Linked DNA regions of Oryzias latipes. The protein of the gene in region 2 purifies or fractionates together with the protein of the main gene of each other region. This does not show direct contact. Links are inferred from orthologs where the notes say so. Each region holds a gene or a part of one and is shown on either strand. Other genes may lie near its edges.

Region 1 (4,230 bases), on a different chromosome or scaffold from region 2:
TTTTTTTTTAATCATTCCTCCTCCTGATAAAAAAATAGATGATGGTAAAAACTATTTCACCCAGAAAGCTGAAGTTCTGACTGTAGCAATGAAAATAATATTACAATTAATTAAGTAATGATTAATCTAATAAATATGTAAACAGTCGTGTAAATCACAAATATTGTATCAATCACAAATATAAACTTCTGTGAAACTCTTGAAGTTTGCAGACAACACTACAGTCAAATGCCTTACATGTGCAGTCATGCTCTTATTAGTAATAAAGATGATTCTGATTCTAAAACCTTGACATCAATATTAACACAGAATGTACTAATAATAATTATGATAGAAATTGCAACTCTAATATTAATAACAAGTATAGTCACAATTTTAATAATAGAAATGCTATCCCTTGCAGTATAATAAAGTATTTTAAATCATATTTTTGTTGTGTGAATGTTGACACTAATGTTTAAAACAAATGTATACATTTCTCATTGTTCTCATTATATCAGTGATGACACTAAATATAATACCAAGATAACAACAATTTTCAATTCTTGAAAATATATGGCATGGAAATTTTAACAATGCTATTAATAACAAATATATCATTAATTATATTGCATTAAATTGTCCACACTAAAGTATAAAAAATCATGATTATTTATTAATATCATGATTGAGTAAGTAAGTAAATTTTATTTGCATAGCACCTTTCACAGACAAAGATCACAGGTTAAAATATATATATATATATATATATATATATATATATATATATATACATATAAAAACATAAAAGATAAAAAGCACAAACCACGTAAAACAATCATCTCAAGCCCAATGAAAGCAGTTTCAGTTAAAATGCTTTGCAAAAATAAAAAGTTTTCATGATGATAAATGTAAATTATTTCATAAGGGATAAATTAGAAATCATGATTATTAAAACATAAATTATCGTTTAATATTATGCATTTTTACCAGTAACACATGTGATATTAATCATGAATATTATAATAAAACTCTGCACTAAAAATTAATAACAAAAATTTCATTTTCAAATAAAAACTCATTATTAATCTTATTATTATATTTGACTAATTTTATATTAATAAATGCAAATTTTCTTCATCTCCTATTTTTTCCCTGTGTTATTAATCAAACAAATTTAAATGTATCTCAGTAACATCTCCAAAAGTCTTAATCAGAAAGCTGCATGTTTGTATGAAAGTTGTTGAAATCTGAATGTTTTTTTTTATCTAAAACTCCTGTAATATGTATGCTACCCTGGCATATCTGAAGTTTACTTAGCAAAATTGTGTTTTGTATTAAACTTACTTACGTTTTGTACAATAAAGTTTAAAAAAAAATCTTTACGGAAGTTACGTACTCAGACTCTTTAGTGATTCTCCGTGCGCATGCGCTGTTCGTACTCAGTCAAACAGACATCATGGCGGACGTGTTGGACCTTCATGAGGCGGGAGGAGAAGACTTTCCTATGGATGAGGATGGTGACGGTATTGCGTTGTTTTACACAATTAGAGGCGGACGCACCGCAGTCCTGCCAGCCAAATAATGAAATTCAAATAGCCGCACGTGCGGTCAGAATCACGCTCAGCCCAGACTGCGTGTTTGTTAGCGGGCCGCAGCCGTGTTAGCATCCAGCTAACTCAACGAAAGGCGGTCATTCATCCACTTAGCGAGCCTCTCAGCGGGGGTGCAGCCGTCTGTGTTTGCGAGGGCCGCTTTTAAAATGTTAATTATTTAAACGGACTGTATTTTTCTCTGCACGTTAAAGCTGTTTTGTTTTCTATTAAGCTAGCGCTAGCATCCATGTTAGCCAACGGCTACATGCTGTTAGTGTTGCGCAGATGAGAGAAAAAACGTCGATTTAAAAATTGCACATTGTTCCTAAAAAAACAACCCAAAAACACATATAGTTACTCCATTTGAGAACTTCATAAACTAAACTCTTGTGAATTAAAGGAAACTGAAAACGGCGTCCTTAGGCTTTTATTCGTCTGTTTGCAGAAAGCATCCACAAGTTAAAGGAGAAAGCCAAGAAGAGGAAAGGACGAGGTTTTGGTGCAGGTGAGCTTTCAAAGCATTTTTCCCTTTATTTTTCTTGACTTCTTAGGGTTTGGTTTTGATTCTAAGTTTTTGATTCCAGATGATGGGGCCCGGTCCAGAGCCAAAGAGGACTATGATACTGTGGAACAGGACGGAGATGAGCCTGGGCCTCAGAGATGTAGGTGTTACAAGTGACCTTCATGTTCAGATAGAAGCAAATTAACAAGCTGTAGTCACACTTAGATTGTAAAAAATCTAAGATCTTTGTGTGTATTTTTTTTTATTTTATTTATTTAATTTGATTATAGAATAAATGGTCAATGTTGTGCTTTTCTACCTTTACTAAGCCACTAAGGGCTTGAAAGTCCCAGTCCCATGCACAGTCACAGCCTGTAACCCCCACGAGCGTTGTGGGGTTTAAGTGTCTTGCCCAAAAGACACGTCCACACATGGGCAGGCAAGGCAGGAACTGAACTTTTGATTGAAGGTCTACCTCTGCATCACAGCTGCAGATAACTAATTTAATTTAACCTAAAGTTCATTGTTTAAAAGTTATAAATCAGTTTCACGGCTGCGTTTTAATTTTGACCTATGCAAAAACTAAAAAACTGCTCTGAAACAATGCAGACTTTTACTTTTGAAACTGCGTGAATGCCAGCAGGTCAGGTAAACTCATCTGCTTGTCTTGGTGTGGAGACTGGGGGGTTTGGGTGTCTGATGCCCTGTTCCCTCCCCTCTCTGCAGCTGTAGAAGGCTGGATCCTGTTTGTGACGGGCGTGCACGAGGAGGCCACAGAGGAAGACATCCACGATAAGTTCTCAGAGTTTGGGGAAATCAAGAACCTCCATCTTAATCTGGATCGCAGAACTGGCTATCTGAAGGTGAGTTTAAACCATTTCCTTTTTCTTTGAACACATTTTGTATTTTAAAGACACAACATTTGGATGTCAAATGTTGCTTATGTTCCAATGAACATCTAAGCGGAAGAAGTGAATATTTGATCAACATTAAAAACAAGCATTTAGGCAGTAATTATCAGAGGGAAGGATGGAAGTCATCATATTAATGATGTGGAAGATTTCATTCAGTAGGATTTAATCATATATTTTATAATACTTGTAGAAAAGAAAGTTGGTTGCTAAAATAAGGCTGTTGTGTTCTCAGAACAGTTGCGTGAAGGGGTTAAGAGAGAGCCTGGACTGCCCTTTTGTAGCAGCACTTTAGTTTCTGTGAAGTGAAGCTGATATTTAAGAACAGTCGTATGAAAAACAAACTATTTCGGCTTTATTATTACTGAGGGATTTTCTTTCCGTCTTATTGGTGTTTGGCCGCCACTAAAGGCTAAAATGCTCAGTGTTGAGTCTTTGACTTTTCCACCAAAATAAAAGCTTTGGCATAATTCTGGTCTAACTGCACGACACAAAAATGGATGAGAAAAGCATTTGGGGGGCCGTGAGAAGAAGAGGGTTGACCTTTCTGCAGTTTGTTACTTCACGGTCTGCTCAGTGAAGGAGGAAACCGTCTGACATCTGCACTTTGTGATCAGAACTGTATTATAATAATTGTCAGATTTCAAAGGGTTGTTTTTCAGTTTTAAAACGAGTCTGAGGATACTTAAAGCCTGACTGTCACTGTATTTTCACTCAAAAAAAATATGTTTTTCTCTTTTGGTGCAGTGTTTTTCAACCAGTTTATAACTGGAAAAAAATTCCATTTCACCTAATTGGGCTAAAAAAATGTTTTCCGTTAGCAGGATATCAGTTCTGTGTTCATCCGAACAGACCCGGCTTTTCCACTGGAGTATTTAGAAATGTCTGCTTTGGTTTTATTGGTTTAGTTTAGTTTGTCATTTGCATTGTTTACCTAACATACAGTATAAACAATTAATTAAAAAAATAGGCAGAAGCATATGAAGCTTATTATATGCCTGTCCTTCAATGTCCAAGTTAATCAGTTTAACAAACCAAAAAGTAGGAAACAGTCCTTAATAAATGGAGACAAGTAAACAAAGTCCTTCTACATCTGTGTTTTGTAACCTTTAATATGTTTTAGACTTTTTTTCTTTTAACTGAGAATTACGTCATTTTAATTCATCGCTCAATTCCTTCCATTATTTCACGTCAAGAACTGAAACACATCTTGTCTTGACATTAGATCGAACATTAAACCTGT
Region 2 (4,191 bases):
CCATGAAATGTGAGGAAAAGCCCACAGAGGGAAAGTTTTTAAAGTCCCAAATGCACCAGGATCCCTATGGTGTGCTCTTAGAAATGCCTGTGCAACATTCAAATGACTTCTGCTCTGAAAACTGGAAGTTTGCAAACTATGCACAGGCTGTGTGTGTCTGCACTAAAGTGAGAATGTCTTCTTTAAGTCTGATTGACGTCTTTGACCTATCCCAGCACATCTGAATAGTTTGATTGATTGCTTAAGATTGAATTCATAAATGGACATAGACACTCAGCATCTGCACCACGACTAAACACTGCAAGAAACCAACAGAAAGCAGGAAGCTTCACATTTTAAAACTAACAAAACATCTTTTTTTATTATTATTATAATTATTAGTTGGGAGTTTGATTATGTACCATTTAAAAACTGTTTGATTTAAGCAAAAAAACAAAAATAAAGACTGTGGGAATGATGAGAATAGAGAAAAACATTTCTAGCATTCAGACTTAATAATAAATAAAATAAAATAATAAAAAAAACAAAAAGTGTCAACGAAATGATCTGTGTTAATACTGGCGATGTATTTACAGTATGTCAACTGCAAACAAACACAACATGGGAATATCTCCCTGAAAAAATGCTTTTAAATATACAAATAAGGACTTTTTTGAAAATTGACCAATGAATGGAATGAGTTATGTATGAGATTTCTTCCATTTCTTTTCAATTTACTTTCTTTAAACATTCTCCCTTTTTTACATTAGCTTAAACACTCAAAAAGATTAGTTTTAAGGATATTTTGAGAAGATTTTCATTACATTTTTTACTGTATAAACATCAGTACAAATTTAGGAAAAGCTTTTAGGATCATTTCTTTTTCTGTGTCTTTAAATGATGGGGGAGGGAATATTTCTTGTTTCTTGTCTATTTGAATAAATGCTAAGACATCTAATAAAATCTAGGGAAACAATGTCTCTCCATATATTGAACTTTAGTCTCTCCAAGAGGCTACTTACATTAAACCACCAAGTTATGCATCAAATATGCAGCTTGAATACAAATTCTCATATCAACCTACACTAAATGATCAGCTCTTGGTATGAGACAGTTTCTGGCTTGGTCTGAAATCAGTCAACATGACTGCCACTTTTAGGGAAAATACACTTACACGGGGACCTCCTCCTGGGGAACGTAACCCTCTTTGACCCGTCTTGGCTTCCTCCATGTTCCATCGGGACGCTGGGTAGCAGCAATGTATTTTCCTGGACAGCAGTAGGTAGAACATCAGATACTCGCTCTGCTTTAGAGCTCCAGTTCCATTTAAGCATTGCCTCATAAAGCTTATGTCCATATGTTTTGCAGTTTCTCAAATCTACATCTAAAATCAATACAGATTTGCACCCAAATTGCTTATTAACTTGAAAATACTTGCAAGATTTTTTTTTTAAATTGCAAGGGCCAATAAAAATGTGAAACTCCAACCACAAAAAATATTTACATTGAGGTGTATAATCTGTTTTTTTAAGTCCTTAGTTAAGTTTTACAGGTCAGATGAGGACTGTGGGTTCCTTATTCTGCGTCAAGCCTAAAGTAACAATTTACGGCACGTCTCCATGGTAACGGAAACCCATTTCAACCAGCAGAGGGCAGCAATCTCAAATGTTTCAAACTTACCACAAAAAACTGCAGTTAAATATAGCATAATTTGCAAGGGGGAAGATTTGCGGGGGAAATAAAGATTTATTTCTAAAAACAATTTTACAATAAAAGAATTGTGTTGTAATATATATCTATATGTAGTTGTAGTAGACGCCTAATTTAATACATAAAAAGGAATAATATCAAGGGAAATTTTTATTTATAAAAGTTATTTTTGGTAAAGTAATTGCATTTGTTTTCTTATAAATAAAAGGCCACTTAACAAAGCCCTAAAAACATACTAATAAAAAATAACTCAATTTAAAACTATAATTGGAAGCAGAACACGAAAAGGCAATTATTTTTTCATTTAGAATCCAGCGAACCTCAATGCGTTCATGTACAGACGCAGAGAGAGAGGAAAAAATAAAGGGGTTTGCTTAAAAATAATAGGTTTGATGGAGCTCTAGCGGTAGTAAAATGTCGTCATAGTTTGTTTGCTGTCGCTTTCGTCACATTAGTGACAATGCTAATGCTAGCCTGCTAATGCAGAATCAGGCAAATAACTGCACATAAATAAAGGCGAAAACTACGCTTTAAAAACAAACAAAAACACATCTGTGGCCACAAAAGTCTTTCTTTTGAGTCACTAATGGTTATACAAAGCGTTCAGTTATATGTAATAAACCTCGAGAGCGACAGCAACAAGCTAACTGTCGCTCGATGAGAAATGTTAAGTTAGCAGCAACATGAGCTGCTAAAACAGCAAAACACTAGTAGAGTCGACTGCATGGCGCAAAATAACTATCGATCCGCTGATGAAAGAATAAAAAAAAGCTGAACTAAGAGAGTAAAATATGTGAATAAAGTGGATTTAGATTCGCTTTAAAATAGGTTTGCCACCTGCACCACTGTCTTACCAGATTCATCTGTGACATAGGGGGTTGCCATTTTGGTGTAATAAATGTGCTGCTTCGCTCCCCTCAATTGGACCCTACGTCCCCAAACGTTCCCTCACTATTTAATCCCTTGCAGCAAAAAAGCTACAGGTTTTCAAACATTAGCTCCGAGTTTGTTCTAAAGAGGAGGCTAAAGTGGAAGGGAGATAACATGACTGCCCTTTCAAACAACTAGAAAGGTAGCTGGCGGAGCAAGGAGATAAATCGAGCGGACCCTGGTGTTTTACCTCGGAAATGACGACGTGGACCGTGAGTTGCCAGATATTGCTTGAGAAGCGTCTGGGTCACTGTTAACGCTGGATGCTCTATCATATACAGTTAGTATTTTACATAAAATAAACTGTTTTAGGAAATATGAAACTTGTAAATTTTAGCAATAAATAATCCAGACAGAATCATTAATTAAAAGAGTTGTAAACCTTCTTTTAATGATGTCTTTTCTATAGGAATAGGTTTTTGAGAAGAAAAAAACCCAAATAAACTTTTGAGCTCAAAAATAGAATTTTATTGAGAGTTCTGCATACATTTCACACTCCTATCTGGAATGGACACCTTAGATTATAATTCTTCATCCAGAATTTGCTTGTTAGTTTATAGAACCATCTATGAAACAAAAATAAACTCCCCAAATTAAATTTAATGCCACCATCGTACAAAATAGATGTCACTGTCACTGATTTTTGTTTAAACTTATCATAGGTTATGTATTATTTTATACTTTTTTTACTTTTCATACTTAATTTATTTATGGTTGAATAACATAAAAGAACCATGATTTTTATTTTCAGCTGAAATCTATTACGAGCCAAGTGAAAAAATATAATTAAAAAACAAATTTAAGATCAAAAGTTGGGAGTACATTTCATAGGTTATCTTAATAAAATAAAATAAAATAAAATAAAATAAAATAAAATAAAATAAAATAAAATAAAATAAAATAAAATAAAATAAAATAAAATATTTTGTGAACCCAACCTGGCAACCGCAAAGGGGCCTGGTCGAGGAAAATAATTGGCCACAGCAGCAGTCTGCTTGGCATTAAAGACGGCTGACGGTTGGATCTGCGGTAACCGTTTTTCCAGAAGCTACTGTAGACTTTGTTGCCAGCATCAAGTAGGTATTTCATTTAATTTTATTTATGTATTTAACTAATCAATACAAAACTGTCTGTTTTAAGCAACTGGATAAAAGCGCAGCAGATAAAGGAGTATCTTTGTTATTTTCCACTAAAGTTGAGTGTCTGATCCCAGCCCTGACCAACAGAGCAGCCAGCTAGCTCTGCGCTAAATAATGTATCCGAAAAAACTGCATTCGTTTATTTACGCTGTTATGAAACATCTGTAATGTGTGTTGCACTCTGTATCGCATTTTTTTCGCTCGAGTTTTAAACCCGTTTGTTAAATAACGAGCGAAAACTGCGCTGCGTCAGGCTAGCGTTCGTATTGTTTAGCATGCTAACGGTAACGTAACCTCTGGACGGAGGAGCTCAGAAGGAATGGGGGGTTTTACCCAAATAAAGGTCTGAAGCAGAAACGGGGATGTGGCCGTAGCAATTCGGGGAGGGGGGCTTATTTATTTGTTTATTCGTTAAAATAACGACTACATTGTT
Region 3 (3,987 bases), on a different chromosome or scaffold from region 2:
CCAGTTACTTTAAGACTCTGAAAGTATCTTTTAGCAAACATCTTTTCATAGTAATTCTGAGATTCATCTATTTACCTGTGTGTGCATTGCAAAAGGAATATACATTCACATTGTTGATGTGTCTATGGGATGTAAATCTTTATCCAAGGTTGCCCCTCGGTGACATATAGTTATTGGAGTTTACTTCATTGTTCCTATCAGTTACATTTTTAACTGTCTGTCTGCTGCATTTCACACTCACATTTTTTAAAAATCTTTGTCAATCCAGGAAAATCCTTAAATAATAGCAAAAGTATTCATGCAGTTTTATTTAAAATGTTTAAAATCATCTTTTAAGAAATAAATTCACAAAGAAAATAAAATTAAAGAGCAAAAATTTAGCTTTTAAAAAGACTTTGCTTTTAGGTTCATGGCAGGTTAACAGCTACATCTACGTTTGAAGGATCGTGGGATGAATAGTAAAAACATTTTTTAAAAGTCAAAACTCCAACAGCAACATCCTTCTTTCATCCAGTTTATTGCATAAATGTACACAGCGATTAACGGTAGGACTTCTGGTAGCGGGCACGAGCTCCAGGTCCACCGAACTTCTTGGACTCGCAGCGACGTGGATCAGCGACCAGCAGGGTCCGGTCGTACTGGATCAGGATGTCTTTGATCTCCTTCTTGGAGGCTTCATCAACATCTGAAGAAGAAAAAAAAACATTCAGATTATTAGAACCTTAAATATCTCAATCAGCTGGCAGCTGTTGCTACTTTTCTGAATATGTTTCCATCTTCTTTGCATTTTTTAATGGATCTTTTTGGTCACATTTAGGGTTTCCCACCGTTCATGGATGGATTTATAGATGTGAAGCAGAATCTGCGTCATCACTTTTCCTTTGACACCAAAAAGCAGCTTTAATCTTAAATGTTGATCAAACTTCTCCTATCAGGACTTTGTGTTTTTCTTTTTAAAGTCCTTCAACTCTGGTCAATCACTGAGTAAATGTACAGCCCAGCACTAAGGAAAGTCGGCCTTTATTTTTACCCAGAGATCTTTGCATAAACCAGATTTAAATGAGCATAAATTGTGCATACAAATGTCTTTCTGTCTTATAAGAAACATTAATGGATCTTTAACATATAAAACACTAGCTTAATGTTTGTACATATGACATTTTATGATGTTTGTTTACAGAATAAAACTTACACTTCTGGTAGTATGCAACCAGAGCCTTAGAGATGGCCTGACGGATGGCTGTAAAACAATACGATAAAAGTCAAACATTTGGGGAAACAACAGGCTAACACTTCATGTGGTGTTGTGATCTTACCATAGACTTGTGCGACATGTCCACCCCCCTTCACTCGGACTCTGATGTCAACTCCAGCAAAACGCTCCTTTCCCAACAACAGAACTGGCTCCAGAAGCTGATCACAACAGCTAGTTTGTTAATGGATTTGCTCAATTTATAGGCAAATTCTTGTAAAGTAACAAACAAAACAAAATACTAGAAAGATAAACTTTATCTTAGTTTGAAGGGATAGAAAACATTAAAACTACTATAACTTGTTAATACACACAAACTTTTGAGGTTAATCACACAGATGATGGGAAAACCTTTACGATCATGTCATACAATACCGTTTTGGGTCATATTTAGCAGTTACAACGTAGATTAGACGTTAAAAGAGCGTCAACGTCCCTAAGTGTTACTTCAAAATAAAGGCATCGCACCTTCTACTTCACTAAAATTCAAGGAATCAAGATAAGAACCTTGTACTGAAGTGTAGAAGGCTCCACCATCTCCAGGGGTCTGCCGTTCACCTTGATCAGGCCATTGCCCCTCTTGCAGTGGGCAACTGCTGTGGCCGTCTTCTATAAGAAAAAAAGATACATTCATTTTAATGCCAATTTATCAATATTTTTTTTGACAAATTAGCTCAAGCGACATTATGTTATGTAAACATAACATATAGATGTGTACCTATTCTATTATATCAAATGTGGTGCCGTATTGTAGCAGATTTAATACTAAACTGTTATTTTGGGCAGAGCTAATTAGCTAAGCTAAGGGCTAATGTAAAGCTCCACTAAACAAACCACAAGAACATTGTTGTAAATAAAAAATAAAATAAAAAACATATCAATAATAGAAGGTGTTCGCGTCTGTCTGACTGGTTCATTAATACGTAACATTTAAGCCACACAATTACAAAGCAGTAATATTTTTGGTTATGGCCTCTTTACGTTAGCAACTTTAGCTAGCATTCGCTAGCATGGAAGTGAAGCCAGCAACACCACACGTGTAATAAACTCCACATTTTTACTTACTTTACGTCCAAACACCTGGACAGACTGCAGAGGACCTTTAGCTGGCATGTTTCTGAAATACACAGAAAACAAAAATTTAAAGTTAAGAAACACTATAAGAGCATATTTAATGTGATTTTGTCGGGATCTGTCTCCGAAACACACCGCCTTCAACTAGGATGCCGCAGGAAGAGGCCGACGGGGTCTCACACGCCGAGAATCAGGGGTTGTTTACGGCAGTCCAAGCTCATTTGCGGCAAGATTTTCGACAGTTGTTCACGCTCACGTCTAATCTTCATAATTTTACATTTTTAATACTGCTTCATGTTTTTGGATTTTACTTCAATGTTCCAAATGGAAAAAATGTGTGTGTAATTTTGATTTTTGTTAAAAATAAATTACAAAAGAATGAACTTTGAAAAGAATAATATATATTTGTGCTTATTTCTTTTTATATGTTTTTATTTTATGTGTTTTAAAATTTAGTAGTATGAAAATAGGCTAAACAAAGCGCAAAAATAAAAGGTTCAACTGGGGTGATTGGAAAACAGATTAAAGTATTGTTAAATTTAGCCACATATAGTAAAAGGTAAATGAAAAAAATGAGAGTTATTTTGTTTACAACTTACAGCTTAGTTTTGGAGATATTTGTGAAAGGGACAAAAGGGAAAAAAAGCTTTAAATGAAATCAAATTAAAATTGCTAAAAAAAAAAGTAAACTTAAGTCTTTACATTCTAACACCAGTATTCAAAGAAAACGAAAAATTTTGAAATGTAATCATATTTGTTAAAAATTAAATCCACTTTAAAAGATAAAGATTTTGGAGTTGCTGTGGCTTTTTCCTCGTTTTAGTTTCCAAATGTTGTTTTTTTTATTTTTTATTATACTTTATTAACTTTTCAAGAAAAGAACACAAAACAAACCTCTGGTGTATATTGAGTTCTGTAAAATTTTCGATATTGGTTTTCCCTGAGTTTGTTGCATGTAAACGTCTTTTGAGCAGATACAAAAGCATTTGACCAAGTTTCAACATCAAGGTCAATTCCCAAATCTGTCTCCCAACGATACTTAGATCTCTCACTTGTTAGTGAGCCACTTGTCAGTGCCATTAATTGTGCATGAAAGAGAGAAAGGAATTTCTTCTTGGAGGTGGCATTTTCATTAACTTTCAAAAGAAAACTTTCTGCTGGGTGTAGGATTGGTTGGTCACCTGGGAAAGAGAGGGAGGTCCGAGCAAAGTGTCTCACCTGTAGGAAACCTAAAAAATCTTGGCGTGATATCCTGAATCTATCTTGAATTTGTCCAAAAGACAGAAAAACAACTTTTTCAAAAAAGTTGCAGACATGTTTTAAACCCTTATCATGCCATTTGTTAAATATCCCAAAATCTAAGCCTGTGGAGAATGCTACGTTTTTAATAAGAGGCTGCATCACACTGGAAAAGTTTTTTCGACCCATTTGATTCCTGATTCTGTTCCAAATTCTAAGTGTAACAATAAGAATAGTGTTGTTCTTTATCCCCATTGGAAGTTTAGTTGGATCTAGGGATAATAGACTCAGTAGTGGGAAAGGCTCATAACACCAACTGTCTACATGCGGTTCAGATTGATGCAAAAATGAGTGTAACCATCCTGATATAATGTGTAAATGACAGGCCCAGTAGGAGTACTGAAGGTTAGGCAATGCCTGAC

Evidence for each region. The genes of interacting proteins can lie anywhere in the genome.
Region 1: the proteins of pym1 (region 2) and rbm8a purify together in Homo sapiens (co-immunoprecipitation; 11 studies listed by BioGRID and IntAct, counting the BioPlex papers as one, with this or other methods). This does not show direct contact. The link is inferred for Oryzias latipes from reciprocal best matches to the Homo sapiens genes PYM1 and RBM8A.
Region 3: the proteins of pym1 (region 2) and rps16 purify together in Homo sapiens (co-immunoprecipitation; 3 studies listed by BioGRID and IntAct, with this or other methods). This does not show direct contact. The link is inferred for Oryzias latipes from reciprocal best matches to the Homo sapiens genes PYM1 and RPS16.

Annotation. Positions count from the first base shown.
Region 1 is NC_019874.2:29,126,620-29,130,849, forward strand, and holds the start of rbm8a (RNA-binding protein 8A), read left to right. Parts: upstream 1-1,430; 5' UTR 1,431-1,438; coding exon 1,439-1,499; coding exon of another isoform or gene 1,500-1,505; intron 1,506-2,019; coding exon 2,020-2,079; intron 2,080-2,158; coding exon 2,159-2,236; intron 2,237-2,802; coding exon 2,803-2,939; intron 2,940-4,230.
Region 2 is NC_019865.2:22,063,040-22,067,230, forward strand, and holds the start of pym1 (partner of Y14 and mago), read right to left. Parts: upstream 2,801-4,191; 5' UTR 2,575-2,800; coding exon 2,544-2,574; intron 1,248-2,543; coding exon 1,154-1,247; intron 1-1,153. UniProt on the Homo sapiens protein: Key regulator of the exon junction complex (EJC), a multiprotein complex that associates immediately upstream of the exon-exon junction on mRNAs and serves as a positional landmark for the intron exon structure of genes and directs post-transcriptional processes in the cytoplasm such as mRNA export, nonsense-mediated mRNA decay (NMD) or translation.
Region 3 is NC_019881.2:19,224,423-19,228,409, forward strand, and holds rps16 (40S ribosomal protein S16), read right to left. Parts: upstream 2,538-3,987; 5' UTR 2,462-2,537; intron 2,370-2,461; 5' UTR 2,366-2,369; coding exon 2,318-2,365; intron 1,862-2,317; coding exon 1,760-1,861; intron 1,414-1,759; coding exon 1,317-1,413; intron 1,241-1,316; coding exon 1,193-1,240; intron 686-1,192; coding exon 540-685; 3' UTR 501-539; downstream 1-500.